5 linked regions of the Bombyx mori genome follow. The protein of the gene in region 4 purifies or fractionates together with the protein of the main gene of each other region. This does not show direct contact. Links are inferred from orthologs where the notes say so. Each region holds a gene or a part of one and is shown on either strand. Other genes may lie near its edges. The genes, in order: vesicle transport through interaction with t-SNAREs homolog 1A, soluble NSF attachment protein 29, vesicle-fusing ATPase 1, Syx6 and syntaxin-7.

Region 1 (6,172 bases), on a different chromosome or scaffold from region 4:
GTAGATACATTATTAACCTTTAAATTACGTCTATATAAATAAATAAAAAATCAATTATAGACTTACAGAATAGCAACAGTGAATACATTTTATTTGTTTGCAAGTTATATAATGCAAGTTAATTTTACTCCCTTGGAAGGTGATTTAGCAGATTATAATAATTTATTAGCTACAGGGCTGCCATAAGCGATTACCTTAAAACTATTTTTTTTTATCCGGCCTGTAAATATGTGTGCTTAGTGCGAGTTTTTTAACGTTCTCGATAGCGTAAAAGTAATTCAAATTTGTATGGAGTTGGATCAGCGCCCCTAGCGGCAAACGTAGGCAAACATTCCAACTCTATACAAATTTGGCTAACTTTTACGCTATCGAGAACGTTAAAAAACTCTCACTAAGCACACTGGTCAGTATGTGACGCGAGACAGAACTATGTACTTCACTATGAAGAACTAATTTGATTACGTGTAGATATATCGTTCGTGTCATTTGTGATCGAAGTCGATTTTTAAGCATTACATACTAACGTCACGCCCAAAGAAAATATGCTTAGGACAGTTTTACGGTTTCATATTATGTAACATCTTCTCGAAGGTCAATCCTAGTTTGAGAACAGGTACGTTGAGTATTCGCTCGAGCGGCAGGGCGGCGCAGCGCTTGCGGGCGCCGCACGCCGGCCAGCATCAGGACAGCGCCAGGTAGAGCGCCAGCCCCGTGAGCAGCGCCAGCGCGCCCAGCGCCGCCAGCAGCAGCGCGCGGTGCCGCAGCGCGCGCGCCGACATGCCCGCCGCCACCCGCCACGACCGATCCAGCTCCTCGTCGGTCTCGCGCAGCTACAATATCCAATATAAAGCATTCACACATTTTTAGAGCTTGAGATGGGTCCAGATTGGGCCCGCCTGGGTTTAAATGGTTACTGGAGACATCTACAACGTAAATGTCGCCACTCATCTTGAGATATAAGTTCTACATTATGTATGTATTATATATATATATATTTTTTTTTTCACTGGATTGGTACACCGCGCGTAATTCGTTTCCAAATGATTCTTGTCCACCTGATGGTTGTCTGGAAGAGATCGCTCTTAGCGATAAGACCGCCAATTGTACTTTTTGTATTTAATGTATTGCACTGTTTATTTGTTTTTTTGGTGTACAATAAAGAATACTCTCTCTCTCTCTCTCTTCTAAGATCTCTCAGTATAGTTACAACGGCTGCCCCACCCTTCAAACCGATACTCATTACTGCTTCAAGAAAGACCAGTAAAAAATACCATTGTTATCATTTTAAAAAGAACCAGACTAATAAACTCATTAGCTTTATTACTACATTTTAAGTATTCTCTCTATTAAATTTCTTTATTTCATAATTAATGTACAGTAAATAGTTCATTTGGATCACCACACCACTTCATAGTATTATCAGATAACGATATTTCTAAGCTCACCCGAGCGCGCGACCGCTGTATGGTCTCCCGCTGTACGCTGAGATCCTGCAGCACAGCTGCTCCCACCTGCAAAAAATTTTTATGCGAACAATTCACGATTGTATGTGAATATGTGAAAACATTGTATGAACTGTACATACTCTGCTTTTGAAAAAATGTTAATTATTGTACAATGAGGTTGTTAGGAGAGTATTAACTATGATTGTAGAAGGCTTTAGAGAAAGAGGTAGATGTAGACCTAAGAAGAAATGGTATATGATAGAGGAGTATGAAAGGAGAAAACATATTGCGCCGATCCCGGTTGACTGGGAGAAGGGCAGGAGAATGATGATTGTACAAAATGTACCTGTTCAGTCTCGAGTAGGACTCTATATCCTTCAGACAAAACTCGGCCTCCGCGTTCAAGGCGCTCTGAGTTGTCGAGCAACTGTCGGCGCTCATCGCCCGCACCCCAGTCCTCGCTCTCCGACACCTCACCCACTACTGTACAGCACATAATAATATAATGGTTGTATTAGTTTAATAAAGGTAATAATAATCCTTATCCATTTTTTTTTATTGCTTAGATGGGTGGACGAGCTCACAGCCCACGACTTTAAGTAGTTACTGGAGCCCATAGACATTTACAACGCAAATGCCGTCATCATGCCCCCACCCACCTTGAGATATAAGTTCTAAGGTCTCAAGTATAGCGGCTGCCCCACCATTCAAACCGCAATTCATTATTGCTTCACGGCAGAAATAGGCACAGTGGTGGTAGTTACCCGCGCGGACTAAACGGAATCCTATAAAAATTCGATAATCGAAATATCCTATAAACGGAAAGGGTTATTATAAATACTGAAAAGGGTTATCATAATCGTGACGTGGCAAATTATTCTTCATTGATTCCAAAACGAGACAACGTATTTATTGATAACTCCAGTTTTTTATAATTATTCAATACTGCAGGTATGCCTGATTGTACATACATGCCTAATGTTTTATACTAGATAAAGATCATCTTACACTGAATGCTTTTTCATAGTGAAAAAACAATATTATTATGTGTTTTATTCCTATGTTGTCTAGTTTCCATGATCGGTGCAATTTAAAAAATGTGTTATTAGTGAGCACTGATGATACCGAATCAATATCTAAAACAGCCTCTATCTATCTATCTATCTCTTAGGTTTATGGAGTTTCCTTTTAGATTTCGCCAATGTCAAGTGTATATAATACTCTGCTTTCTATAGCTGGCTTCGTGAACGAGCAAGGTCACAGATATTCACTAAGTAAAACAGAAACAAATTTTAACTTAAATTAAATTATGCCTTTAAAATTATTCAGTCTCCAATTGATACAGTCAAGTTTTTATAAATAAACATCTATAGTATAGACAAATAAATTTATAATCAAATTACATAATCAATTGTTTTGAGTTGTTCAACAAGAAATTTAAATAATCATTACACAACTTACAATGTCCATTGGTTCCGAGTGTAGTTTTGAACTGTTGTTTGACTCGCTGCAGTTCAGCACGGTAAGCAGCTACACGGGGACCTCGTGCTTCCAACTCCAACTGTTCCAACTACAAATATTTCTGCCATGAAGAAATTGTTAATTGTGATTTGTAGGGGAATTATGGAAGTCTAAGTACTGGTGGAGTTCACTTAACATTGTCTTTTGCATACCATTCAACTCCCATTGGAATGTGAGCTTGAGTAAACCATATTTTGCAATCAAGAACTGTACACTTAACATTCTCTATATTGAACTTACCAAATCATTTGCCTCTTCAAAGTTTGACTGTATTTCTCTTGATAATTGTTCTCGGTTTTCTGTGTATCAAAATAGTTTAAATTAAAACATTGTCTATGCGCACACTCTTTCAACCTAATGACAATTGACAAGCCTGCAACATGCGATCAACTCATCTTAATTAGGACTACAAGCTTTAGATGGGATTTTCAAATGTAAATATTGTGACTTTGAGAACTAAATTTACTACACTAATTAACTTTGAGGAAATAAATCAAGAATGAAGAGAATCATAGGTGTGGTTTCATGGTTAAATCAAAGGAACACTTATCTGTAACCTCTATATCTATTATTGCATTATCTTGCTCATATTTTGTTTCATTTTTCTATTATCATGATATCGAATTTAAAGATTTTTAAATCATGATGATAAACTGCGAATTGAGAACTTATTGCAGCTAGTTTTCTTCCCTACCTGCAGTGCCATTTTTTAATCGTCCTATTTTTGCGGTGATGTCGGCAGTAAGCACCGAATATTGCTGCTCATAAGATTGCACTAATGTGGCCATCGTCTTAATTTACCTGGTACCTAAACAGCATTACATTACATTAACAAGTAAAAATCAATAATAGTTTAGGTATCGATTTTTATGAGCCTTGATAGATATGATGGTTCTGTAAATTGATATAGTAATTTCTGATAATAAATAAATAAATGTATGAATACAGCCTCGTTAATTAACAAAGGTGAAATTATAACAGATTAAAAACAACGATACAGGACAAAAGGAAAACATTAAGCATAATTTGCCACCTGATACTAAGCAAACGTGAATTGTCAAGTGTCAATCAAGTAGTAGTTTCATTTTTCCAAGTGGAAAGGCGAAGGTATCACACTATACAGCCTTATTTTTTGTATGATGTTTAGTAATCTCTTTCATGAAAAATAATAGTAGGGAGCGAAATGAAATGAAGTTGATTGTTTTGAGATATTACTCAATCGAGATTAAAAGAAATGAGATGAGATGATATGGGATGAAATATAATCTCAATTAAATGGTGGAAATCTACTGAGACATTTTCAGTGAACTTTTTGGAAGATCCCGAGAAGCTTCGTCCAGCGGCTTTGTTCCATTTTCCCACATTTGTGCACTTTCACAAGTATTAAACAGCTAATAAACCACCGTTATTACACATTTAAATCTGAAGAAATGAGACAAATAACACCATAGGTGTTAGTTAGTTAAGGAATGATTTATGGAATGGATGGATGGAATAGCCTCTCAGTAAAATACTTCGAATTTATTCAGAGTTTAATGGACTGAATTTGTAATAATAATTGAGAATCCTTTTTAAATCATCACAACCAATCAAAATTATTACTTCCCAATAAAGCTTTTCATAAAAATTAAATAGCCTTCGACCTTTCGTAATAAATTTTTTGCTGTAGATGGGCGTTATCTCCTTTGTCTAATCATTGAATTTGATAAAACAACAATTGATGTTGAAAGATTGAATTTTGCTTTGAAGGAAGCTGTTTAAAAATAGCGATATGAAACTACGAACCAATGTAATTTGCATTTACGAAACATAAAATTGGACTTAGGTGCTCAAATTGCTATTGGCATAGCAATAACAGTTGTTAGAAATGTGATGTTGACTTGAATTAACAAGTTCAAATATTGACTCACAATTTTTTGTAAACAAGGGATTTTTAAAGGTAACGTACCTACCTGCTTACTATATTTTTCCCAGTATGCTCGTTGACTACTATAATTCATTACGAATGCAGATCAAAAATCCATTTTAAAGATCGAGGTGACCATTAGGAGAAGTATGTGCAATCTAGGATGCAGTCGCTATATTTTCTCGTACATAATTTCCCTTATAAAATTTGCTTTCTCTTTGTTTTTAAGGCGAACCGTTTTATATATTGAGAATCGTTTGTAGACTATGAGGTTTATGATGATCTTAAATTTCCTAATAGTGATCGAATGAATGTACCTGCTGATACCTATATGTTATCGAAAATCCCGAAAGATGTTTGACGCGAAAGTCGAGTTAATTTCGTTGCGTAGTTTTCATGTAACTATCTATTTTTTCAAGGGCAACCAATAAGCTAAATACCAGCTATATAATGATTACTGGAAAGCTAACTGTGAAAATGGATGTCAATATGACTGGATTTATACTTAGTTAACTTTTGAGGTTTCTGAGGATTAGTCCAGTGTTGTACAGGACAATAGGATATATTTTGATGTATTAAATCTGTTTCCAATCAATGATGCAATTAAAAGGGGCTAGGTGTGGTAAGGTTTATGGAAAAAAAGATATATCGATAGGTTTCAAGAAACATATAGGGTTATATTAATATAATATATACTAATATATAAATCTACAGTGGTTTTTACGGATGTTCCGTTATAATTACTGAATCATGCATCCGATTGACTTGATTAATGGATAGGCTAATATTTATGGTGTTGGACTCCCTAATAATAATGACAATAAATAATAATGTTAATTTTAAATGCCCAGCTAAGCAGGCGAATACGTCTAGTAAGATTATAAAGCTTAATCAGCAGATGGACGTTTGTCCAATTACTCTGCTTTAAGACTTGAATATATGATATTGAGGGACGAAAGACTATTTGGTTAAAGTGACATTATGCAACTTTATTACAGAAGAGCCATTTAAAGTTAAAAATTAGCAAATAGTATCATAACAACATAACTTCTTCAGGTATTTGAATGCTATAAAGTTCAATTAAAAATATTGAATTGTTGATGCTAATATCAAATAAATTGAACCTTTAATTACAAAGATAAATATCGTATATTATAATATAATAGTATATATATAATAGCCCCTCCATATGAGCATTATAAATACATTACTGTGAGGTGGCTGTGAGCATTCTTGCAGGAAATTTGTAAAGTTCACTAATATATAAATAGAATCATATAAAAATGTGAAGTCAAAAATG
Region 2 (5,848 bases), on a different chromosome or scaffold from region 4:
TGGACATAGACTGCACTAATTTATTTAATTGATGTGAATTTTGCTGTGAAAAATATGGTTGATGTTTTTGATAAATTTCCGTTTGATTTTTAGTACCTACCATTAATGATGGAATTCACAAGTCTAATAATACCTTTGTCAAAAAACATATGTCGGACTTGCTTAACAGAATCTGATTCTACAATGTTTATGAATGTTCAGGACTTAGTAGAACACGAAATGAGTAAGGTTAAACTGATCGATGTTTTAGTTTTCCTGAACTGTTTAGAGGTAAACGGTGTTTATCCCACTTTTTTGTTGCTACAATATTATGTATCTTATTTAATATTATTTTAATTTTCAGAATAATGACGAAGAGAATTGGCCACAAGGAATATGTTCGTCGTGTGTTTCTACAGCTTTGCATTCCTACAATTTCAAATTAAACTGTCTAAAAGCTAATGCAACCTTATCTCAAATGCTTATGATGCAATCTCTGACTAATCTTCACAGGACTGAAATAGAAAATATTGATATTAATGTTGTTTATCAAGATCATGAATATGATATTCCACTTTTCAATAACCATGCTTCATTAGACTTTGAACCATTCTCATCTAAAGAGTTAACGCCTTTACCTCCTGTTACTGTAATTAAATCAACTGAACAACCGCCTAAAAAAGAAAGTGAAAAAAAATACACATGTACAGTTTGCTCTAAGTCATTTACAAGAATATATGGTTTAAGGTATCACATGACTAAGCATGCTAATGTGAAAAGCTTCTTGTGTTCCAAATGTGGCAAAACATTTCACAACTCTGGATGCTTACGCCAACATCTCTTGAGCCACAGAGATATTGCTCAGTTCAAATGTGGTTTTTGCAACAAAACCTATAAATCAAGGCAGTCATTGAAAGAGCACTTTCGAGTCGCTCATTCGAGCAACAGTAAACTGTTTGTATGTGTTACATGTGGAAAACGATTTACAGCAAAATCAACTCTAGTCATGCACATGAAAAGTCATACTGGAGTAAAACAGTTTGCTTGCCCTAGTTGCCCTAAAGCTTACACCAGAGCTATTTATTTACGGGAACATAGCATAGTTCATACTGGCCAACAGAGACCAAAACCATTTAAATGTTCCAATAAAGACTGTGAAAGAAGCTTTGCCACCAAACATTCATTGTTGGTGCATTTTGCACACACTCACACGACAGAGAGACAGCACAAATGCACAACTTGTTTCAAAGGTTTTGCAACAGCCTCAGGCTTAAAAATGCATATGGAATCTCATGCCACTGTGGAGCTCCATTGCAATATATGCGGGAAGAAACTGTCAAATAAAAGAGTTCTTCAAAAACATATAAAAACTCATAATGTTGATGCCAATGACATGATATTGGAAACTGTTGTTGATAATACTTTCTTCGAACAAGTATTTGATGCAAATATGTAAATTACTATCTAGAATTTAAAAAACTAAAGAAAATAAAGCATTTGTGATTTGAAATATATTTATTAATGGAAACAATATAAAATAAGTATATATAATAATAATGACTGTTTACACTTATCGCTAGGTTCTTGGATATAAATGAAATTATTGTTAATGGCAAACATTAACTCATTGATAACAATATTAGTATGTATGTACCTTACTTTATGATGCAAGAACATAATTCATGATGAGGTGTCTGGAACTTTCACCCATTTAAAATTTGGATTAGTTAATAGAACATAGGTACTTAAAGTAAGTACTCACCTTATATTGGTTGTTTTGCCCTAATATTGTTTTATTTGCACACAAGTCTTATTTATATATATTTAAGTGTACTTAAAACTTTATCTTAAAATAGTGAAACCTAGCTATTATACTGTAACTGTCTCTAATTGCATGAACAACAATTAGAAACAAATAGAAGAAATTTGTCATGATAAGTTGCTAGCCAAAAAGATAACACATTTATTTAAAGATTACAAGATAATTTTTTTTACTATATACTGTGCACAATAAAGTTATGAAGAATGAATGAAGGTTATGATGATCGAATATGATACAGAAAAGGTTTACCTAAATAATATGAATCATACACCATTTTATTAGATGTAACTAAGTGTACATGATCAGCTAACAATGGACAGTATCACACAAGAACCATTATTACATACTATGAAGCTTTATAAAAATGCCAGTCAGCTCAGCAGTGGTGACGAATGTATAGAGCATTAGTATGCAGTAAGAAGCCTTTCAGACAATTTACATTACTAGTAGGTTTATTATATATGGATTTTTCCTTTACTATGAAATCCCCTTTTTACACCATGTTGTTTATCAAATTGCTGCTGGTCATGTGATTCAAATAAAAAATAATCTTATCAAACTTTGCCATACATTAGTATTCCTTATCACACAAAATGATTACACTACTGAATTTTGCAAACCACTCACATTAAAAACATGCTAAATCTTTATAAACAGATACATTTAATAGATTAATAGACCCTTTTAGTTGTTGTTTAAAATAAATCTTTAATTTGCTATAATTATTGCTATTTCCCAAGTAGTTTATTCATTTGTTTATTTTGTTTACCAATCTTGATATCTGCAATCTCAACTTTGTCTTGAATAGTATCCACGAGGTTGTTTTGCTGTTCTATCTCTTCACCAAGTGCAACTCCTAGATGTTTGAGCCGGGATATAGCATGCACCATTTCATCCAAGTTCGAATCAAGTATATTATTTACTCTCTCGTTTTCTGTTTCAGGACTCTTAGCGCTTTCTTGAGACAAACCATGTAGGCGTGCTGAGGGATGACTCTCAAAGCGATCTTCAACGTTCCTAGACATATTATCTAGGGTTTCATCAAGCCTGCTACTACTTGTACCAGCATTACGTACATTCGAGGTCGCTGGACTTTTAGATGGTGTTTGATCACTTTTTCCGGAAATATAATTCTTCAGACCATAAAATACAGACTTTATACCATTTAAATGTTTTTGACTATAGTTTAAATTGGTGTTAATCTCATCAAGTCGCCTGTCTGTGTTCTGTAGCTGTTCACGTTGTCGGGAAAGCTCTTCGGCCGTTGCAATACCAATTTGTTCAGAATCACGAAGCAATCCGATACTTCTCGTTGATGAATCTATTGTCCGTTGTTCGATTTCTCTTTGTGTTTGGATCATAGCTTGGCGTTGACGTTCCAGTTCTGCAATATGACCTCCATAAGGCTTATTTGCTTGCTGTGTTTGAGGTATTCTTGACCGGAAGCGATCTACAAATTCGTTATCATCGACGTCGTCATTTTCGAATAGGTTGTTCGGATTTGTGAAATATTTATGCCCAGACATTGCTTAAAATGTAATTTACTACGTAGGTGTGTTCTCGTTACTTTATTGGTGATGTTCAAAAAGAATGCACTTGAAATTATGGGGGTGGTAAGCACAGATAATACACAATTATTATGGTAGGTATGTACCATAAATGTTTATTTTAGGTTTAATTTATCTGATACGACGAGCAAAGGGATGTAGCCAAATAAAACGATTTTTTTAAGTGTCTGTCTAATTGAACAAAAAAAGTCAATATGCCACGTTCCCTTTGCCTTTCCAATTGAACAATTGAAACAAAGTTTAGCTCTTTGATCAACTTTGATGCGTTTGACGTATGAAGTGAGTCGTGGGCAAGGTCTGTATTTGAGAGCTTTCTTTCTATTCGCTACAAATTTATTAAGTCTATCATCAGAGGATTGCTTGAAAACTGAATACCTACTCTGTTTTTAATATAAGACAGTAAGTATTGTAAAAATGTTAAACAGTTCTAATTTATAACCTCAACGCGAGGACAAGTCAACTATTTATTACTAATTTTGATGTTTATTTAAGATATTTAAGAAAATAAATTACCATTGGAGTCAAATAATGTTCATTTGGAATTAACGAAGTTTTCTTTTACAGAAGCATTAACTAACTCTTGTAAATATGAGTCGTTTCTTTGCAACTGGGACGGACTCGGAGTCAGAGAGCAGCAGCGAGGACGAGCCAGTAGTACGCGCCCCCGCGCCAGTTTACACGGTAAATTTAAAATAAATAATTGGGAATCAAGGAAACAAAATTTTCAATTTATAGTTTAAAAAAAGATAAATAGTTTTTTAAGTTACCAAGGGAGACTAACATTAATCTCATGTAGGATGACAAGATATATGAAACTTTTTTTCGGTAATCAGCAATGCAATTAGCAAAATTTTGTAACTCTTTTAGAAGTTTTGAAAAATGTGATCCTTTAAATTCTTTCCTAAATGTCCACTATCAGTAGCTAATAGAGGGGGTAGCGATCAATAATGTATTTCTGCTCTGCTCGCAATCTGCTATTGTGCCAGCTTACAGCTTTCTAACGACTTGTCCAAAAAATTGAATGGGCAAAGGGAACAGCCATATTTTGTAATGATTGTGAAATTATTTTAATTATAAATTTTATTTCTTGTATTCAGTCATCTTTGTAAAATATGGTATAATATTATTAAAACATTTTTAATTCATAATAAATAAGGTATGACATAGGATTCAACCCATGTTAAATTTAAAATATCTGAAAAAATCCCACAAGTTACATCTTGGCAGGACAAAGGGTTGCTCGTGCTACTCTTTCGTTCCTAAACTCTTAGTAGACTTGTTGGTCAACTGGCATACTGCTTGAAAGATAATTTGGAGTAATATAATAATATACATGGATAAATAATTTAATAGTAACAATAGTAAGCCACTAAAACTTCTATTTATTTCAATTATGAGTTTAATAAGTGCATCTAGTGATTGGCATATCAATTTGTTATTAATTTGTCTTGACTTGTATAACAAGATGCTTTGATTCCGGAATAGTACAGTGATGTGAATTAGATATGTGTTGTTCAATCAATTTTAGAGAATCAGATCAATACTGACCTGTTGACAAAATGATCCGGTTCGTTCGACCCGTTCAGTCAAACGTTTGGATTTCCGTTAATCACACCAATTTATGATGTGATTAATATTATCAGGTCACTGGCTGAATGAAGTTTAGTATTGAATAACAGTTTAAAGGAACTGTTATAGTTCGATTGTTTAGGTGAGATAAAAAAAATTCAAATACGTTATGCGTCATTATGCGACAGCGAACGTCTAACCGAGACGGGCGCGGGGCGAGACCCGGCAACCCGAAATGACCCGAATGACTGTTGCATGGTTCTTTTCTTCTGATTCGTAGGTTTTGTTAAACGGGTCAATCTAGTGAACGACTCATATTTTTTGAAATGTTCGCGCGGATTTTGAAACCCGGGTCGTTTGGTTCGTTCGTTGGCGAACGACACATATCTAATGTTAATTGTAATAAACATTAAACATATGCTTCAAATTTTAAAAAGAAAATGATCAGACTAAAAGTTATAAATTGATTGGGAGATAAGAGTTGCTGTGTTTTTTTGCTAATTTTTTTTTTGTTGTCATCTTTTAATATTGTATATTGTTAACAGATTAAAAATCTTAAAAGTGCGCCATTGTGGGAAAATTCTACAAGATTATAATTACAATTCACAATATTATTATAGTCCCAAGTCATTTCAGTAAATTGCCTCTATTTTGAGGTATGCACTCAGGATAAGTGAACAACAGGAAGGTTGCGTATACTTGTGTAAGAAGAGCCTGCGCTACCACGGCATGCATGTTTTACATGTCTTAGTTTTGGTCTTCAAATGATGATTATTCGAGTATTGAAAATTTCTTCCATTATAATATTGCGTTAATAAAATCAACTGGATAGTTATTTCTTATTAACACTAGCTTACTAACAACAGCTCTTACCGAGCATGGTTGTAACTCTAGTTAATGTTCTATTGTG
Region 3 (6,426 bases), on a different chromosome or scaffold from region 4:
GAAATAAAAAAAAAACAATTGATCACGTATGAATTTAATTTAATGTACTGATACTTATTGAACAAAATGAACGTGAAATCTTGTTAATTACTCTCGCAATCAGATTAATCAGTAGTTGAAGAATTTGATGTACTCTCCTCTTGATGTCACTCTCCTCACGTACTTCAATAATAAATGATTCGACAACATCCTCCATTAAGCCATCCTTTTGCCAGTAATATTCCTCTAATGCTAAGACATGTTTAATATGCTAGTGCTTGCCATTCCTTTTTCATCAAATGAAATAGCTATTTGTGCAAACAAAAATACTTATAAGTGTAAGACTATTTATATTAGAAATCACACGTAATTAACACTGTTATCGCAAAATTAAAGACGAGTCGATAAGCGTACTCTCACGTTAAGGTCGACACTAGTACTGGGAGAGTGCTGCGTATGAAGCGATGGTCGGGCGCGGTGCATGCCCGCCCGCTTCCTCAGCCCCCGAATCCTTGGAGCTCACGAGCGGACTGTAGGGTGCCTTTAAATAAATATATTGAAAGGACCCATATTGTGAGGCTTGGAAAGTATAATTTGGACTATGTCTATTAGCTCCAGTAACCACTTAACACTAGATGGGCAGTGGGCACATCCAGCGATCTAAGAAATTAATGGAAAAAAGAAGGTCAGGGCTCAAATTACTGAAGTGCCCATTTTTTCATTAGTTATTGCAAATATTATATCATTAGGAATTATTATATTGTAAAAGCAAAACATACTTGGCTTTTCAAAATTATAATATACACTAGCAGACCCAGCAGACTTCGTAGTGCCTCAATCGATAAATAAAAAACTTAAACTTTTGTATCAAATAATACTTAAAACAAACAAAAGGAACCCGTCGGGCGGGGGACACATCAAAGGGAAATTATAAGTGTTATTTTTATTTAATTCCGAGCATTTTCATGTATCCTATGTATAATGATATGTATAATCTACCTTTTAAACCTTTTCTGAACTTCCACAAATTCAAGACAAAAATTAACCAAATCAGTCCAGCCGTTCTCGAGTTTTAGCGAGACTAACGAACAACAATTTATTTTCATATATATAAATTACTTTTAGAATTTCTTTGCAAATTCGAATTTCAAAGATTAAGTTTTTCGATTTCTAGACTAAAGAGACTTTATTCTACTCTACACTAACTCGACTTAACTCGACTCGACTCAATCTCCAATGTGCGTTTTGGTATAACTCGTAAAAATAAACTCCATTCAAACATGCTTCGAAAATTTTCGTCACCGGAGCGGAGTAAATGAACTGTCAAGTCAACCTTGAACATTCCTCAAGACTGGTTTTCTTTAAATATCCAAACCTTTTTATCTATACTTTTAATATTATCATTGTATAATAACATATTTTTAATATTATAAAGCCGAAGAGTTTGTTTGTTTGAACGCGCTAATCTCAGGAACTACTGGTCCGATTTGAAAAATTCTTTAAGTGTTAGATAGCCCATTTATCGAGGAAGGTTATATAATATTACGCTAAGACCAATACAAGCGGAGCACAGATGTTTCAAAATGGGGTCTTTTTTTCGTTTTGAGAGCTTCCACTGCGTGCGCTACGGAAACGGTTAAAGTTTTGCTAAAGTATAAGAGAATTGTCCCCTTTAAAAGATTTAAAAAAAGTCCGCGACAGCATATGTCCATATGTTAAGGATGGCTCACTATAACGTTTTTTATGCTAACCGAATTTGTTCTAAAATAAAGTATTATTTGTGAAGGTGTTTTTATAAAGATGATATTAATCCCTATCCAAATAAATACGTTATTCATTACAACATTGAAACACCCAAATCACTTCAAGATACACTTTGACAATTATAGAGTTTTCTGGATTTCTCCAAGATCCCATCATCAGATATTGATGTAAACAGGCGCATTCGGGAACTCTATCCTTTCGAACAAAAATAAAGAAAAAAGAATTATCAGAGTCGGTTGAAGCATTCTCGAGAAATCGGTGAACGTACATAGATAAAAAATTATAGTCGAATCGATAACTTGCTCTTTTGAAGTCGGTTAAAAAGCGTGATTTTGGTACATTAAATAGCTCTTTAACATTCTATTGTCCAAAAATATTTCTCATTTTCAACGTTAAATGAAGAGGCGGGTAAAATTAAGCGTTATGCCATAGTAACTATTCCGCACTTACGAAGTCGCGGGCAAAAGCTAGTCTCTGATAAAATTTCATAACTGTTTAATATTGTAGATTATATTTACCGGGAAAACATATTGTGCATTGTTCAGCTTACACAAAAATCAATGAATCACACAAATGACACAATTAAATGTTAACACAATTAAAAAAGAGAACCAGCATACATTGTGTCATCATTCGGTTTCTATTGGTTAAAAATGAAATTCTAATGATTTAACACGAATTGAGTCCTGAATGAGTCGAATTGAATCCGAAATAGGGAAAAATATATTCAATTTTCGACTGTTTGACATCAATTCTGTGATTTATATATCGATTGACGATCGATTGTACAAAATCGACTCTTGGATTAATAGGACTCATATTGCCGTCTCTAATACTGACTGTTTATTGATCGCTTTGTCCAATGGATAGTGAAGTTAATTCAATGCAGTGCGGTCATTTGTTGCGAGAGTGACGGTAAGTTTATGTACTGTGATGTCAAATCAGTCTACTTTTCGTGAATCATTTGTCAAAATTTAGAGCAGTGTTTTTAATCAAAGAAGAAAGTTGCAAAAATGTCTTCAATGGTATGTATGTAGTTAATTTAGAAATAATTATTAATACCACGATACACTCTGTAAGGCCACTGAAAATTCAATTCTAATTCACAGTACAGTCTCTTAAAAATTAGTAGTTTTTATTTTATTTATTTTTTTAACCAATGATATTGGTCCTTTTAATTTTAAAATGAATTTACTTGAATCCTACCGTATTTAATAAGTCTATGAATAACTAATAAAGGTTAAATTGTTTACAATAAAATCGTAACTTGTAAAAATTGCAAAGTAAAAAAATCTGTTTGTTTTTAGTTGTAGTCGTATAATAAATATTATGTACTATTATTAGGCAATATATTGTGGGAGTTTAAAATAGTATAATTTTGCTGCAGCGAATGAAAGCAGCCAAATGTCCATCTGATGAGCTTGCCATCACCAACTGTGCTCTAATACATCAAGATGACTTTCCAAGTGACATCAAGTTAGTATAATAGAATATAAGTATAGAAAGATACATATGATAAGTAGTTCTTTCTTTAAATGAGGTTTGTTTTTTTTTTCGATCATTTGTTATAATTTAGATCTGCCTCCAACAGTGCCATTGTACATGAGCTACAGAAACTATACAATTTCTGGAGTCTCACATGCTTCTGCTAAAAGTTATTTTTAAAAATTAATGTAATAAAATTTTCAATAATCAGTCTTATTTATATCTATGACTTACTCCTGAAGACTCCTGAACATAGCCTGAAGGATTGCAAAGTCGATGTGACAGTGGGCAAGACTACATAACTTGTAGAACATTATTAAATATCTATCATTATTATGTAATTTTAATATGTTTATCAGTATTGATCAGAATCAGTTTTTATGTATAACAGGTAAAAAAGTACATACAGGCATAGTTGAAATGTTTCATTCAGAACAATTACTTCTAGTCTAGATAATACTAGAAGTCTAGATAATACAGTATCGCACAACATGGGACTTTGTAGGAATGTATCTACTGTGTTATAGGAGGGTCACTTGTATAATTGGATAAACAAATTCTAGAACCATCTGGTGTTTTCTTGTTAGTTTATAAGCTTACACTGTGAATTTTACAATACCCCATGAGATATGAGGTCAAAATTTTAATTATATTGTGTAACGGCTGTCACTGCCTTCAAACAGATTTATGTGACTACATTTTGGCAGAAATGAACTGAAGGGTGGCTGATCCGTCAGTCCTCTTCTATATCTAATAGGACTTCTTGCAAGGTCAGACCAGTGTTTTGTAAAGTACAAGTGTTTGTCCAGGTCTGAAGTACCTCGGTCAGGGCTTTCTATAAATTTAATAGCCATATAGCTTCTCATTTCAAATGACTTCAAAATTAAATATTGTCTCAAGGAAACCCAATAATTTGCCAATTGGAAGTTTGCAGAGAATCTCTTAAGATTTACGACATGCACTAGTTAAGTATTTCATAAGAAAAATTTGTACCAACTAGAGCTTTTTTGTTCTGATGGCTACGGAATATCTAAAGTTTCTCTTTCTGTAAAGGATTCTCTTTTTGTAAATAAACATTTTTCATATACAGATAATATTTAGCTTTTTCTTTCATTTACCAGGCATATTGAAGTATCTACAGGACCATCTCAACACTTTGTGTTCAGCATTCGGTTCTACAATGGAGTTGACCGTGGCACTGTTGGATTTTCTGCCCCTCAGCGAAAATGGGCTACCCTCTCTATCGGTCAAGTGAGTTTACATGCACTATCAATACGCTTTTTAATTACATATTTACTTGTTATTGTAGGTGAATGGTCATCCACCGTTGACATCTGACAGTTGACATCAGTAATACTGGGGGCATATCTAAGTAACTGACTACAATAGAAGGATTGCATTAAATCTTATCATGAAGAAGGATGACAAAAGTCTGAGAAATACCTATGTGAGGAATTCATTCTAAAGCCAGATAGTCTGGGGGGAAACAATCTTTCTTAACATACTAGAATTAGATGAATGCAGTGATTCCAGATAGTATGGATGAACTATGATATACATAGTATTTTGGGAAGCGGGTTCTACACCATTTTCCTGAACACTATTGTATGAAAATAGTAGATTTATTATTTATAATAAAATATATTTCTTTACACATACATGTCTCTGTTAAGTAGATCACTGAAAAAATGGTTTGTACGTAACTAAGAGTTGGGATATTTTCAACGTGAAGATGAAATCACAAGTCAAATAAACGCACCATTTAAATGTCGATAGGTTGCCATCCGTGATCATGAATGTAAAGCATACATTTCTTAAAATAAATAAAACTACTTTTAAATAATAGTTTTTTTTTTCTCACCTATCATCATATAATATAATATTTTTAAAAACAAATCTGATTTTTTCATACAAAATGTTTTAATTAGTCGAAATGTAAATACACGCTAGACTTGTATACGTATAATTAAATAGCGCGATTAGATAATAATATAATGGGGGAGGCAAATGTTCAGCGGTGGAAGTCCGTGGCTGAAAATAAAGAAATTTGATAAGAACAAAAAACTATGTATAAACCATGTATATTTTTTTTACTATGCAGACCATTGACGTGAAGCCTTTCAAACCCTCTAGTGCTGAATGCCTTTGCAGCGTAACGTTGGAAGCCGATTTCATGATGAAGAAAACGTATGTGTGAATTCAATCTGATTAGTACTTATTGATGTTACGTAACTTTTCAGTCATCATTTGAAAATAATTTTTAAAATTTCCTTGTTTTTAATAGATTGGGTGGAGCAATTTATTTTCAACTCTGTGATTAAATGAGCATAGTAATTAATGCAACCCAATATCATTATAATAGCAGATAAAGTATGAAATTAGAACGAACATACAAAGATCTTGTTAGTAAAGAAAAATGGAATGCTTAAAGTTTAATAAACCTAATATCTATAAATTTGTGCTGTCTCAATGGAATATATTTTGTGCCTTTGACATAGCACTGACGATCCTGAGATTTGGGGATTCAAAGGAAGGAAGAGTGAAGTGCATTTAATTCAACTAAAGAATTTTGCCACTTGCATAAATATTTCATACGTAAAGTTACCGATAGAAAAAAAACGTTCATTATTTTGGCATAGCTATCCGCGAGTTCTAGATGTGATTAAACACACACAAGATTTAATAAACACATGCATATGATGCAAAAACGCCTTCGAAAATAACTGATCAATAAAAATCTATTGTATTTTTCTAATTTACTTAAAAAGTGTTGTTTGTTAACTATGATAACTAGGATTTTTTTTTTTATTATTGTTGGAATGTATTTCCTCTTCCAGAACATCAACGGATCCATATGATTCGGAACAAATGGCCAGAGATTTCCTTATTCAGTTCGCCAATCAAGTTTTTACTGTCGGACAACAGCTGGCTTTCTTGTTCCAAGAGAAGAAAGTCTTGTCGTTGATCGTAAAAAATTTGGAAGGTGAGTTTTTTTATGTTTGTTATTGGAATATAGACGAGCTCACGGCCCGGTGGTAAGTTGTTATCGGGGCACGTGGACTTCAACAACGTGAATGAAATAACCCACCTTGAGACATGAAGCTCACAGCCCACCTGGTGTTAAGTGGTTACTGGAGCCCATGGACATCTACAACGTAAATGCGCCACCCACCTTGAGATATAAGTTCTAAGATCTCA
Region 4 (6,428 bases):
GGAGATATGTGGTTAAGAAATTTATATTTTACTCAAATTGCGCACTGTTACCTATGTAAGCAATGAAAGGTGATATGTTGCGACTCAACGAAATGTGATTTTTTTAAGCGGTCCGTTGCAACTGGTCAATAATTTTCTGTATTAGACATCCTTCAACATTTTTATGCTAAATGATAAACCTGTTTGAATAAAATATATTACTGAACTAACAATCTATATATATATATAAATGAATTGCTGTTCGTTAGTCTCGCTCGCTCGCTCGCTAACTCGAGAACGGTTGGACCGATTTGGCTAATTTTGGTCTTGAATTGTTTGTAGAAGTCCAAAGAAGGTTTAAAAGGTAAATAAATATCAAAATCCCTTCTGTTTGTTTTAAGTTTATTTTATACAAAAGTTTAGGTCTTTTATTTATCGATTGAGGCACTACGAAGTCTGCCGGGTCAGCTAGTTAATAAATATTTTGTAGAATAAGTTTTCATTTTCGTCGTGTTTTGCGGTGGAATTTTGAAAAGAAATTCTTGTAACTATATATGTCTATAATTTGCATGCCTTTTATCCCACTCTATCTATTCCGCGCATTAATGAGAATCACTAATAAATACAAACAAGAGTAATAAAAAAAATATATGTTAATTTCGTTTTTAGGGATTACGCGAGTATTTTCGGAACCATTGGCGCGCTTTCGCCTAGGGCCTAGAGTGTACTACCAACCTTTGTAAACAAAACTATGCAACGACGAACTTAACATATCGATGAAGATACTACTAGCTCCATGGTTATTTGATTTTAGAGTTGGGCAAATAATGTCAAAAATTAATTGAACGGAAACCAGTACTTTCAGATTCTTTTTGCGGACTGTATCATGTCACTTTGCATCTTGTTATTTTGACGCATTTATATAGTTCACGTAAGAGAAGATCTAGGTTACTGTTCTCTATTCTATTCCTAAATTAGTTTTTGACGAACCCACCACCGGACGAAATTGTCTTATGACAAGATGCTAGATTTATCACAGTTATTATTGTATGCATACATACAAATCAATGACCCTTTAAACCCAAGAACTTAAGCGATGCTATTTGATGATATCAATTTAATATTAGGTGAATTCTGTGTAATTTGGGCAAGATCACGAAACAGATCATTAGCATGTATGCCTGTTAGTTCAAATGTGAATGACCTATCCTATCCTATGACCGCTATATTTTCAGTTTTCCAATTTTTTTGGGGTCTAAATAAATCTCATTACATTGCAACTTGTCACTTTTCATTGCTCATCTAGAATAATAGACCATATAATAAGGTATAAACATAATATTCATGTAACTAATACAAAATTATGTGAATGTCCTAACAGAAAAGTACTCTTGTATTGATATTTTATTAATGAATTCTAATAATGATAAGATGATGTGTAAGTTTTCTCAGAGTAAAATACTTCTAATATGAACGCTGCATATTTATAATGGGAACTGCTTACTTGTGTTTGTAAAGCTTTCATGCATTTCTGCTTGATGGGAAAGACAGTCATTGTATAATACAACTGAAATCTCTACTTCATGTCACCAAGCAGGTGATGGCAGATTGCCACCATAATGTGATATGGTATCTATGAATTGTTGTCATGACTAATAAACAGCAAGTGGACTCATGTGACAAACTAAAGAATTATAAAATAAAATTTTAAGAAGCTAGTGTGAAGGTAAGGAATTTGTAAATAATATATTAAATAACCCGAAATAACAAAACATTAAGGACCATGAAAATTAGTAATGTTGGAATTTGAGATAGCACAAATAAATCTAATGGAATGTTTTTGTTAACATTTAACTGATAAGTTTATCAATTTAAAAAGCATCTACAACAAACACATACATCATCACTATTTTACAAAATATAAAATAATTTTAAAGGATATTTATTGTATCTTCTAAATCTTCCAAATCCCATTCAATGCTGCGCAGTGCATTTTTCAATTCAGTCGAAGTCCATTCTACTTCTGGACTACTTGCAATTATTGGAGTCTTACAAATCTCCTGCCAGCGTAGGTACAAACCACGAGTCTTATTCAGTGCTTTGAACACCTCACTGTGTCAGAAAAGTACCAAAAGTTAATATAGTAAGTCAAAGCTGATGTCATATACAAAATATATAGGGTTTCACAAATATTTTGAAAAACTCCTTGAGTATTGTGTGTCTAAAAGAAAAGTTAATTTCGTTCTTAAGTACTACATTTGTTTATTTATTTTATTATTTATTACTTGGGTGGACTAGCTCATGTCCCATTTGGAGTTAAATAGTTACTGGAGCCCACAGGCTTATAGAATGTAAATGTCACCACCCACCTTGCGATATGAGTTCTAATGTCTTAATTTTAAAGTACAAAGGCTGCTCCACCCTTCAAACAGAATCACCTACCAGTGGTACCTACCCCTGCGGACTCACAAGACGCTTACCACCAGTAAAAATTAATCACATTTCACCAAATCATTTCATTCAATCAATCATTTGATCCAACAATCAACAAAGCATTTGAATTTTTAACATTCCTCGTCCGAATTTGAAGCAAAAGCTCTTGAGAACATGTCAAAAACCTTCAAGTCATGGGAGTAACATCAAAATTTGGTCATTAGAAACTTACTGCTGTAGCTGAGTTTGAAATGAACCTCCCTCTAACATGTTTTCTGACAGCTATGACATGTCTTTCTTCAAACGAGATGTAAGTGTCCTCAAAATTAGGCATCAGCTTGGCTGTACCCTTGAAATTGCTCATGTACATAGCTTATGAAGGTTAATTACCATCAGATGGATCATACGGTCTTTTTACAAAGGCAATAAAAAATGATAGTTCTCAAAGTATGAGCCCATTTACTATTTAATTCTTCCTATTCCTACTATTTAATCCTACAATTATTTATAATAATCCTATAGCCATATACATAATGTTAAATGTTATTATTTCTCATAAGATCTTTCTACTTGAAGATCAATAAAGCAATTACTTAATATAACAGTTGAATGAGTTGTTAATTAGTGTGTTCACCCAAATATGTAATAAAAAAAATATTAAAATCTAAGTATCTATTTTGATGTGCAATAGCAATAGGACATTTTGTAACGATATTTAAAATTGTAATTTAATAAATATTCAATTTATTTAAATCCAATAAATTTTAAGTTTCATAAATATTATACTGTATATATATTATAAGAATATTAATATTGGATCTTCTATGAAAATTTTAAACTTTCTCATCACATACTTAAACAAAGTTATTCATTTTGCTATTAAAATAGCTATAAAAACAAGAATAAACAAGACCTGTACTTTGTCAGTTTTTCTCCTCCTAGCTGATATTACTTTAGGTGATGTCTTAGAAGTAAAACTAGACTAGATTGAGTTGATTTCGTACTTTTATGTTACTTAATTATAGTCCACAAATGACACTTAATTATTTTAAAGTGTGTTACATTTATTTTTAACAGTAAAAAGATGCACAATACTAAATTCGTTTTCATTATTAAATCAATATTCGTATATAAACCTTAACTTCAGCCTTTGCTTTTTGCTACACAGTATCATGTAATATTCAGCACCACCCACTGGAAACAATTACCTTACCCTAGCTGCAATGCCATCTATTAATATAAATGAACAGTTACTTTACTCCACTTACTCTTTAACGACGTAGAAAGGATCTTCTAAAGTCATGTCAACAAAAAATAAAACAAAAATTTTAAAAGAACCATGTGATTGTGGATTTTCTAAAATTTTAAACTGTAAATTTAACCATAAATGCACACTCTCTTACACTCGTACAATACCTCGGCTTGGCGACCAACCCACAGAATATCGAGTGTGATACCTACCCTGTTTAAAGCTCGCTCGATGAAGCCTTATTCTCTATCCCTTGCTCGCTCATGTAAAATGCAAACAGCGCAGAGTGGCAAAACGCTCTGCAGTGCGCAACCGCAGAGGACTTATTTCGGGGCGGGAGAACTCACAACAAACCCTGCTTAGATTCACCCCACAATAGCCCCACACTATCAATCTATTACCACCTCGTTGCCTCCCTTCTTTCAGAGTTCAGTTTTGGTTTTGTCACTTTTTTTACTCTAGAACTTGTATTGCTGCACAATATATAGCTGTATGTAACTAATACACTTCGAATTTTAATAATTAAATATAAAATGTATCATAGTACAGTGTATAAAACAAAACTTCGAAAAAAAATAGTGATTTTGTACATACATTTATTGTATTTATAAACTTTTTTGTTATTGTTGTACATTATGAATGTTATTGTCTATGGTACAATATATGCTTCCTAATTCAAACCTATAGAGCACAAAATTCTGGCAGCTGTTTGCACGTACACCCTGATCACATTTTTCTTCCTAAAAAAGATGCTTACTCCGAAGCAATATGTGAAGCGCACCAGCACCCGAACTGATGACCACGACACGACCACTCTCCCAAGAGTGCATACGCCTGAAAAGAAGAAGAATCAGAACCAGACTTATGTAATAACTATAAAGCTAAATATTTTACGTTGTAATTATTTAAGGAGAATTGTTGAATTATAAAAATAATAATTATGCAATCCAGTGAGTCCGCATGGGTAGGTACCACCACCCGGCCTATTTCTGCCGTGAAGCAGTAACGCGTTTTGATTTGAAGGGTGGAGCAGCCGTTGTAACTATATTGAGACCTTAGAACTCATATCTCAAGGCTGGTGGCATCATTTACGTTGTAGATGTCCATGGGCTTCAGTAACCATTTAACACCAGGTGGACTGTGAACTCGTGCACCCATCTAAGCAAAAAAAAAATCATTATCGTTAGCTTGAATACGTGAACTTAAATTAATTCTGTCGCTGACTCTTATTCCGGATTGTTAACAACAACAAAATTTAGGAATACAAAGTTCTGATTTAGTGTCTGAATGTGTATGTGAAGATATTTTAGGTCAGTACATATGCGTTGCTACCATTTATTCCAGCGGGGGTGCTTTGAGGAACTATTTTCTGCTATTAGAGCGTATCGAAAAGGCTAGGGTCGTTTTTTCTTAGAAAATGAGTTATCGATACGTTCATAAATGATTTTCAGGATAATAGGGTAGCATCGTAAAATGAAAATAAAATGAAATATTTAAAAAGTTGGGTGGATATTGCTGGCAGGGGTATTGGAAGTTCGCATGAGTAGGCTCCACAATCCTGCATTTTTTTACCTCGAAGCAATCACAGGTACTTCTGGACTTAAAAGGATAGATACCTTGTCTTCGTGTCTAAAAAGTAACACTGAGTTTTACCTACTAAAAAGATAAATATTCATGGGATGGATTCCCAACGCTCTTTTAATAAAAAAAAACTGACTGGCAGTTGACATCGACTTGACAGTTGATGGACTTTAGATCGCATTCACAAATCACAATTCACAAAGCTCGCTCAACAAAGGCTGCCGTCGTATTTTGATTTCGGTTCACTTCTTTTATTTGCGTATCAAAATGAACTCCGCGCTTAATCCAGATGCACCTGAGTTTTATCCACACCTGGCGGCAGTCACACAGGTAAGTTTCTTAAGAAATTTATAAAATAATATATTGAAATTACAATACATGAGTTTTACAATCTTTGAATGAAGACATGTTTCGAATTCTTTTTTTATTTTAATTAATATCTCCTACAATTTACCTAGTTTGTTTTGTATTTAAATATAATTACAACATTCATTGAACAAAACGTGTTCCCTACGAAATAGATTAGATTTGACAGACGTCCTACAAAAACAATATACCTTTCACGTGTTGAACTCATCGTGTGTTAGTTTGAAGTTGAAAGTGTTAAAGATGATAGATTTCATTCAGAATTATTTCTTAAAGTGCTTTGTTTTCATAATACGATTCAAGTTTATTTAATAAGATGGCAATCATAGTTTACCAAAAATACTATGTAACTTTATTAACTTAATAATTAGCAATAAACACATTTGTTTCATATTAAGTTCATTGTTCATCTTACATCACTCCACTCTCCAAATAAATGTAAATTTTAGAAAAAATAAAATAATTTGGTATTATTGGTTGGTCCACTGTTTGTGTTGGTATTAGGTTGATTAATTTGTGAACTCACATTTTTGACAAAAAGTAAACTTAAAAATATATAGATACATACATAATCATGTTAGATCAACAGCTTTCAGATAGCCCAAAACCATAGTTATTTTCCTTAAAGATTATTGTAGATCAGGTGTGTTTCATCTAAAGGTTCTAATTGTCTATACTTTATACCATTAACCCATAACTATACCTACTTATATAACCAATAATTAGTTTCTTTCACTAAGTTAGTCAATATTATTGAGTCTTTGTATTTAGAAAAAGCTGAGTAATCAAGATGAACTGGCCAGCAATAATCTAGAAATAC
Region 5 (5,231 bases), about 470 kb from region 4:
ATTGTATTGCACAATGGCTGTTCAACCTTTCCATACTGTAACACATAAGTTTAACTGGCAGAAATAAGCAAGAGGGTAGCACCTACCCATGCAAGCTCACAATATTCCTTCAATATTTAATTTAGATATACCTCAAGTCTCGAGTGAAGTGTGTGGGATAATAATATGGTAATCATTAAATATTAGGTGGGTTTTGAGTTTCTTTATCTCTCTATACAATAAAAATAATCATAGAAATCATTCAATAATATCTGATCTATATTGGAATTTACCAAAGGATCTGATGATACTATCCAATGGTAAAAGTACTTGGGGTATTGTTACATAAGTTTCAAAGTAAGCAGTATTATCGAAATACCCTTGCACCTAAACTGTAAACTTATCAATTATATTGATGGATCATAATTAAAAATGAAAGTATCACTGGTTAATACAGTAGGATGCAACCATTAAGTTGTAACATTATACCACCTACTACATTTTTAATTAACAATTAGGAGATGTTAATCAATATTTTGTTGTACTCATCCCAGAACCATAATTCTTTTCAGTATCCTCAATGTCAAAGATGGTCAATCAGTTACAAACACCTCAAGACTCCCAAGAGCTTAGGGCTCAGTTGTAAGTTTTACTTTCATACTCTGCATTTTATTTCTTTTGTGTTTAATTTAATTAAAAACATTGGCATATTAATTTGCCTTGTTTATTTCACATTAAGCAGTATCATCAGCTTAGAAATTATAACTGCAATATACTTGATAGAGATTTAGCATATTGTTTTCTAAACATATCTTAACTTAAGAATAACTTTTTCATGACAGACGCCAAATACAAAATTACACTCAGAAGCTGGCAAAGGACACTTCCTCTTTGTTAATGGAGTTGATGAGAATGCCTAAAGATAACGCTGCCAACAAACTTACCAGAGAACGACTCAGTGATGAGTATATTGCCACTCTTAATAGTTTCCAGGTGTGTGCTTAATTTATTAAATATCGTTATTGTGACATTAATATATTGTTAACTAACCCGCCCTCACTTCGCTTCGGAAACATTAAATTTTATTATTGATAGCCGAGTCCCGCGATGTTACCCGCGGTTATTGTCGTATCGCGGGTGACACCGCGGGGCGAAGCTAGTTATACATATAAACATTCCTCTTCAATCACTCTGTTTATTTGTTTATTATTATCTAAAAAACCGCATCAAAATCCGTCGCGTAGCTTTAAAGATTTAAGCATACATAGGGATATAGAAAGTTAAATAGCGCATAATAGTATACAAAAAAATTGTATATTAAAAAAGAAAACAAAGTATAACTCATGTTAAGTAGGTAATAGGGAGTAAAATAGTAATAGCTTGGAAGACTAGTTCATTCAAGTATTTCTTAAGAAAATGAGAAGATAAAATTATAAGCATTAGGTAATTGGCCAGTTCTGTCTATAAGTAATCTTAGCGATGAGTGATGCAGAATTTCGTATTTTTCAGAAATTCAGAAGTTTTAATGTTTACGCAAACGTTAGGAGTAAAATTAAAAAATTAAATTAATATTAATATTCAATAATTTACAAACATTATGTATCGCCAAATAATAATATATTATCTATCTATCTATTACAAATGATAATATATAAAACGGCTAGACGCGTCTCTAAAATAGTGCACAGTCAAGAGTTTGTTATTCATTGAATTTTATGGTTAAAAAAATTCTTTTACTATTTATTTTAATCTAATCGTCTAAAACATAATATAAATTTGTTTTGAATTTATTTGTCCTGCAGTATTTTTTTCATTAGCATAACTGTATAGCAACCCTTTATTAAGTCCAAACATATTATAATATGGGAATGTGTACTTGCTGGTATTTGTAACATTCTATTATATGTACAATCTTTATTTTTTAGACTAGAAAATATATTTTTTATTTATTTTTTCAGGCAACACAACGACTCGTTGCGCAAAAGACAAAAGAAGATGTGAAAAAAGCAAAGGCTCAGTCTATAAATATTGGGGATCCTTTCGCTATGGGGAGTAAGTATAAACTTTTTCTCACATTACTAAAAAGTACTAAAAGTACTAAAGTAAAAAAAGTATGTACTAAAAAGTAAAAGTCATATATCTATTACAAAATAGAAAAGAGATTACAATACAACGTGAACTGTTCCATCAGACAGAGGTAGTAGTAGAACTGGCGATCCCTAGCACGACATGAAAGAATAAGTCACGTTTGAGAAATTAAATTTCACCATTCCTTTTTTTTGTATTGCTCGCAATTTAATACAATTCAAAATAACTAAGGCTCGGGGTCAACTTTCTAGAGGGAACGAACACGAAATATAAATCTAACAAAAACGAGTGTGTGTATGCGTGTGTGTGTGTGTAAACAAGTATGTTTGTGCAATAGTTCAGTAATTAATAATCTTATGCTTCGACTCCTGGGATCTTTTGCAAATAGTCTGTAGTCTATTATTCGTCTACAAATCAAGTCCACGTGTGACCTGAAATAGCGTTTGGATTAGACCAGCAGTACATCAGGCTATTAGAAAATTTTAGTTTTCTCTTCGGAAATGGTCTCCTAAAAATTTGAATTAATAACGAATTAAATTTACTGGTGGTAGGACATCTTTTACTGGTGGTAGGACCTCTTGTGTGTCCGCGCGGGTAGGCACCACCACCCTGCCTATTTCTGCCGTGAAGCAGTAATGCGTTTCGGCTTGAAGTGTGGGGCAGCCGTTGTAACTATACTTGAGACCTTAGAACTTATATCTCGCGGTGGGTGGCGCATTTACGTTGTAGATGTCTATGGGCTCCAGTAACCTTAACACCAGGTGGGCTGTGAGCTCGTCCACCCATCTAAGCAATAAAAAAAAATCATAGAATTTCAACATACGGAAAATTTGACCTATTTACATAATTATGATGTTGTTTGTGTAGACAGTAACAAAGATTTGGTAGAGATGACCGAGACAGATGTCCGTAAGCAGGAGCAAATGAATATGCAAGCTGAACGTTCTCTCGTCGAATTGGAGGAACGCGAAAGAGATATTCGGCAACTTGAGGTATATATATTTCATAATTTAACTAAACTCCAAAAGAAATATCATAATCATATCTATTAAATTTTATTATTCGCCCAGTATCGATCATGATAAAAAGAGGTTTTTTTTTAAATAAAACAAAAAATTAATTTAATGAATTTGAATTCTAAAATGAATGCCTGTAATGTCTTATATTAATGTCAAATGGAGAATAGATTAATATTGTTTGTCTTTAATACATACTACTTATTTATAGTGTAGGTACCCTTGGCGAAATCTGTGGTTATAGAAGTAAAGTTCATTGACAATAGAACCATCATAATGTTAAAACTTATAATTTAAATTAGCTTTTCCCAAAATGGGCGATAACGCCGCTTTGTGGGCGTTGCAGGCCTAAAGGGGGGCGGTAAGAGACCCAGAAAAAAATGGGGGCGTTGTGTAGAGGCTTGGGAGGCGATTTGTAATTTCATCTAGGAAGACTCTTAGACACCGGCTGAGCTCTCGCTATAGTGGTTTTGAAGTAGTTGAAAAAATGGGGGCGCTAAAAATAATTTATTCTCAAAGTGGGCAGTAGACAAAATAAGTTTGGTAACCCCTGATTTAAATTAATAATTATAGTCGAATTTCGACTACTGGGCGGCCACTAGTTAAAGTAATTGTATTTAAGGAATATCAAATCTGACCGTTTGTTTTAGAGTGACATACTAACCGTTAACGACATCTTCAAAGAGCTGAGTACAATGATACACGCTCAAGGCGAAGTTGTGGACTCCATCGAGTCTAGTGTTGAATACACGGCACAGAACGTCGAGAGCGCCACACAGCAACTCCGGGAGGCTGGGAATTACAAAGTAAATATTATATTAATACTTTATTTTAACAGTAACCTACATTACACAAAAAGAAAAACATACATCAGACATATGTATTATAATACTAGCTGACTCGGCAGACTTCGTAGTGCCTCAACCGATAAATAAAAGACCTAAACTTTTGTATAAAATAAATTGTTTTTTTTTTTTAATTTAATTCCGAGCATTTTCATATTTATCTACCTTTTAAAACTTCTCTGGACTTCCACAAATTTCTCTAGTTTTAGCGAGACTAACGAACAGCTATTGATTTTTATATATATATAGACTAGCGGACCCGACAGACGTTGTCCTGAAACAATCATTTAAGTCGGTCCAGCCATTTAGTTGTAATATAGATAAATAGTCTAGATACCGACTGCAGCGCCATCTACCGGGCTGATTTGTGAATCTAAACCATCCAGGGCGCCACCCAAGCGCATACAAAAAAATTATTCAAATCGGTCCAGCCGTTTAGGAGGAGGAGTTCAGTGACAAACACACGCATAGAAGAAATATAGTCTTTTCGCATTAAAAGTACAATTTCCAAAAATATTCGAAATTGAGTTAATATGCGGAATCATTTGGTATGACCAGTATTTTTCTCATAAATACTGTCCAAAGAGCGTATTTTAGTTTTTTTTTTTTTTTTACTTTACCTATGTTTTGACTACTATTAACAAAATTAATACATAATTTTATCTTACTTTAAAAGACACATAGTGTAGCTGGTAAAAAATAAAATAAAAAAATGTTGCAAAGATGATTAATATTAAAAATATCACATGTTATAGACCTTTAAAACACTCTCCTGTAAAATTAGTAAGTTTTGATATTATACAGCTTTAATGCGAGAATACTATATATCAATAAAGATAAAAATATTAATTATTGAAAACTTGTGGTACGTTTTTGTTGTTTACGTGTATTAACTTTTTTTTCCAGAACAAACTGAGGAAGAAGAAAGTCTACTTGGCGATAATATTGATCATTGTGGTGTCAATAATCTTGATCGTTTTGTTCCACAACTAAACACAGCTTCGAGATGATATCGTTGCTTTTGAAAAACGTAAATGTCTTTTAAAATAAATAAATATACGTGGATTAAAATAAATAATGACATGTTTTGTACTATTTTCTAATATACAGTTGTAATGTGAATTGTGATACACAATAGAAAATACAGAATTATTCGCAATCCATCATGTAGAAGGATTGACACTAAGTAAGAACACAAAACAATTCCGTAGGTTTAGTTTATAATTTGTTTTCGATGTGTCGTATATGTAATACCTTTTTTTTTTAATGACCAATAATGTGTAGACTATATTAAAAAAATTCG

The links.
Region 1: the proteins of Syx6 (region 4) and vesicle transport through interaction with t-SNAREs homolog 1A purify together in Homo sapiens (affinity purification with mass spectrometry; 3 studies listed by BioGRID and IntAct, counting the BioPlex papers as one, with this or other methods). This does not show direct contact. The link is inferred for Bombyx mori from reciprocal best matches to the Homo sapiens genes STX6 and VTI1A.
Region 2: the proteins of Syx6 (region 4) and soluble NSF attachment protein 29 purify together in Homo sapiens (co-immunoprecipitation; 3 studies listed by BioGRID and IntAct, counting the BioPlex papers as one, with this or other methods). This does not show direct contact. The link is inferred for Bombyx mori from reciprocal best matches to the Homo sapiens genes STX6 and SNAP29.
Region 3: the proteins of Syx6 (region 4) and vesicle-fusing ATPase 1 purify together in Homo sapiens (affinity purification with mass spectrometry; 3 studies listed by BioGRID and IntAct, with this or other methods). This does not show direct contact. The link is inferred for Bombyx mori from reciprocal best matches to the Homo sapiens genes STX6 and NSF.
Region 5: the proteins of Syx6 (region 4) and syntaxin-7 purify together in Homo sapiens (affinity purification with mass spectrometry; 3 studies listed by BioGRID and IntAct, counting the BioPlex papers as one, with this or other methods). This does not show direct contact. The link is inferred for Bombyx mori from reciprocal best matches to the Homo sapiens genes STX6 and STX7.

What each region holds. Positions count from the first base shown.
Region 1 is NC_085109.1:1,648,287-1,654,458, forward strand, and holds the start of vesicle transport through interaction with t-SNAREs homolog 1A, read right to left. Parts: upstream 4,013-6,172; 5' UTR 3,755-4,012; coding exon 3,661-3,754; intron 3,266-3,660; coding exon 3,207-3,265; intron 3,016-3,206; coding exon 2,907-3,015; intron 1,929-2,906; coding exon 1,792-1,928; intron 1,512-1,791; coding exon 1,446-1,511; intron 831-1,445; coding exon 681-830; 3' UTR 1-680. UniProt on the Homo sapiens protein: V-SNARE that mediates vesicle transport pathways through interactions with t-SNAREs on the target membrane. These interactions are proposed to mediate aspects of the specificity of vesicle trafficking and to promote fusion of the lipid bilayers.
Region 2 is NC_085122.1:5,756,536-5,762,383, forward strand, and holds soluble NSF attachment protein 29, read right to left. Parts: upstream 3,328-5,848; coding exon 2,530-3,327; 3' UTR 1,476-2,529; downstream 1-1,475. Other genes in the region: gastrula zinc finger protein XlCGF57.1, read left to right, coding at 106-270, 344-1,435; eIF3c (eukaryotic translation initiation factor 3 subunit C), read left to right, coding at 3,958-4,050. UniProt on the Homo sapiens protein: SNAREs, soluble N-ethylmaleimide-sensitive factor-attachment protein receptors, are essential proteins for fusion of cellular membranes.
Region 3 is NC_085128.1:5,787,179-5,793,604, reverse strand, and holds the start of vesicle-fusing ATPase 1, read left to right. Parts: upstream 1-2,589; 5' UTR 2,590-2,756; coding exon 2,757-2,768; intron 2,769-3,130; coding exon 3,131-3,219; intron 3,220-4,349; coding exon 4,350-4,479; intron 4,480-5,329; coding exon 5,330-5,415; intron 5,416-6,065; coding exon 6,066-6,211; intron 6,212-6,426.
Region 4 is NC_085107.1:6,216,423-6,222,850, forward strand, and holds the start of Syx6 (syntaxin 6), read right to left. Parts: upstream 3,716-6,428; coding exon 3,681-3,715; intron 2,092-3,680; coding exon 1,921-2,091; intron 1-1,920. UniProt on the Homo sapiens protein: SNARE promoting movement of transport vesicles to target membranes. Targets endosomes to the trans-Golgi network, and may therefore function in retrograde trafficking.
Region 5 is NC_085107.1:5,745,098-5,750,328, forward strand, and holds the end of syntaxin-7, read left to right. Parts: intron 1-551; coding exon 552-621; intron 622-821; coding exon 822-972; intron 973-1,937; coding exon 1,938-2,031; intron 2,032-2,934; coding exon 2,935-3,059; intron 3,060-3,733; coding exon 3,734-3,982; 3' UTR 3,983-4,044; downstream 4,045-5,231. UniProt on the Homo sapiens protein: May be involved in protein trafficking from the plasma membrane to the early endosome (EE) as well as in homotypic fusion of endocytic organelles. Mediates the endocytic trafficking from early endosomes to late endosomes and lysosomes.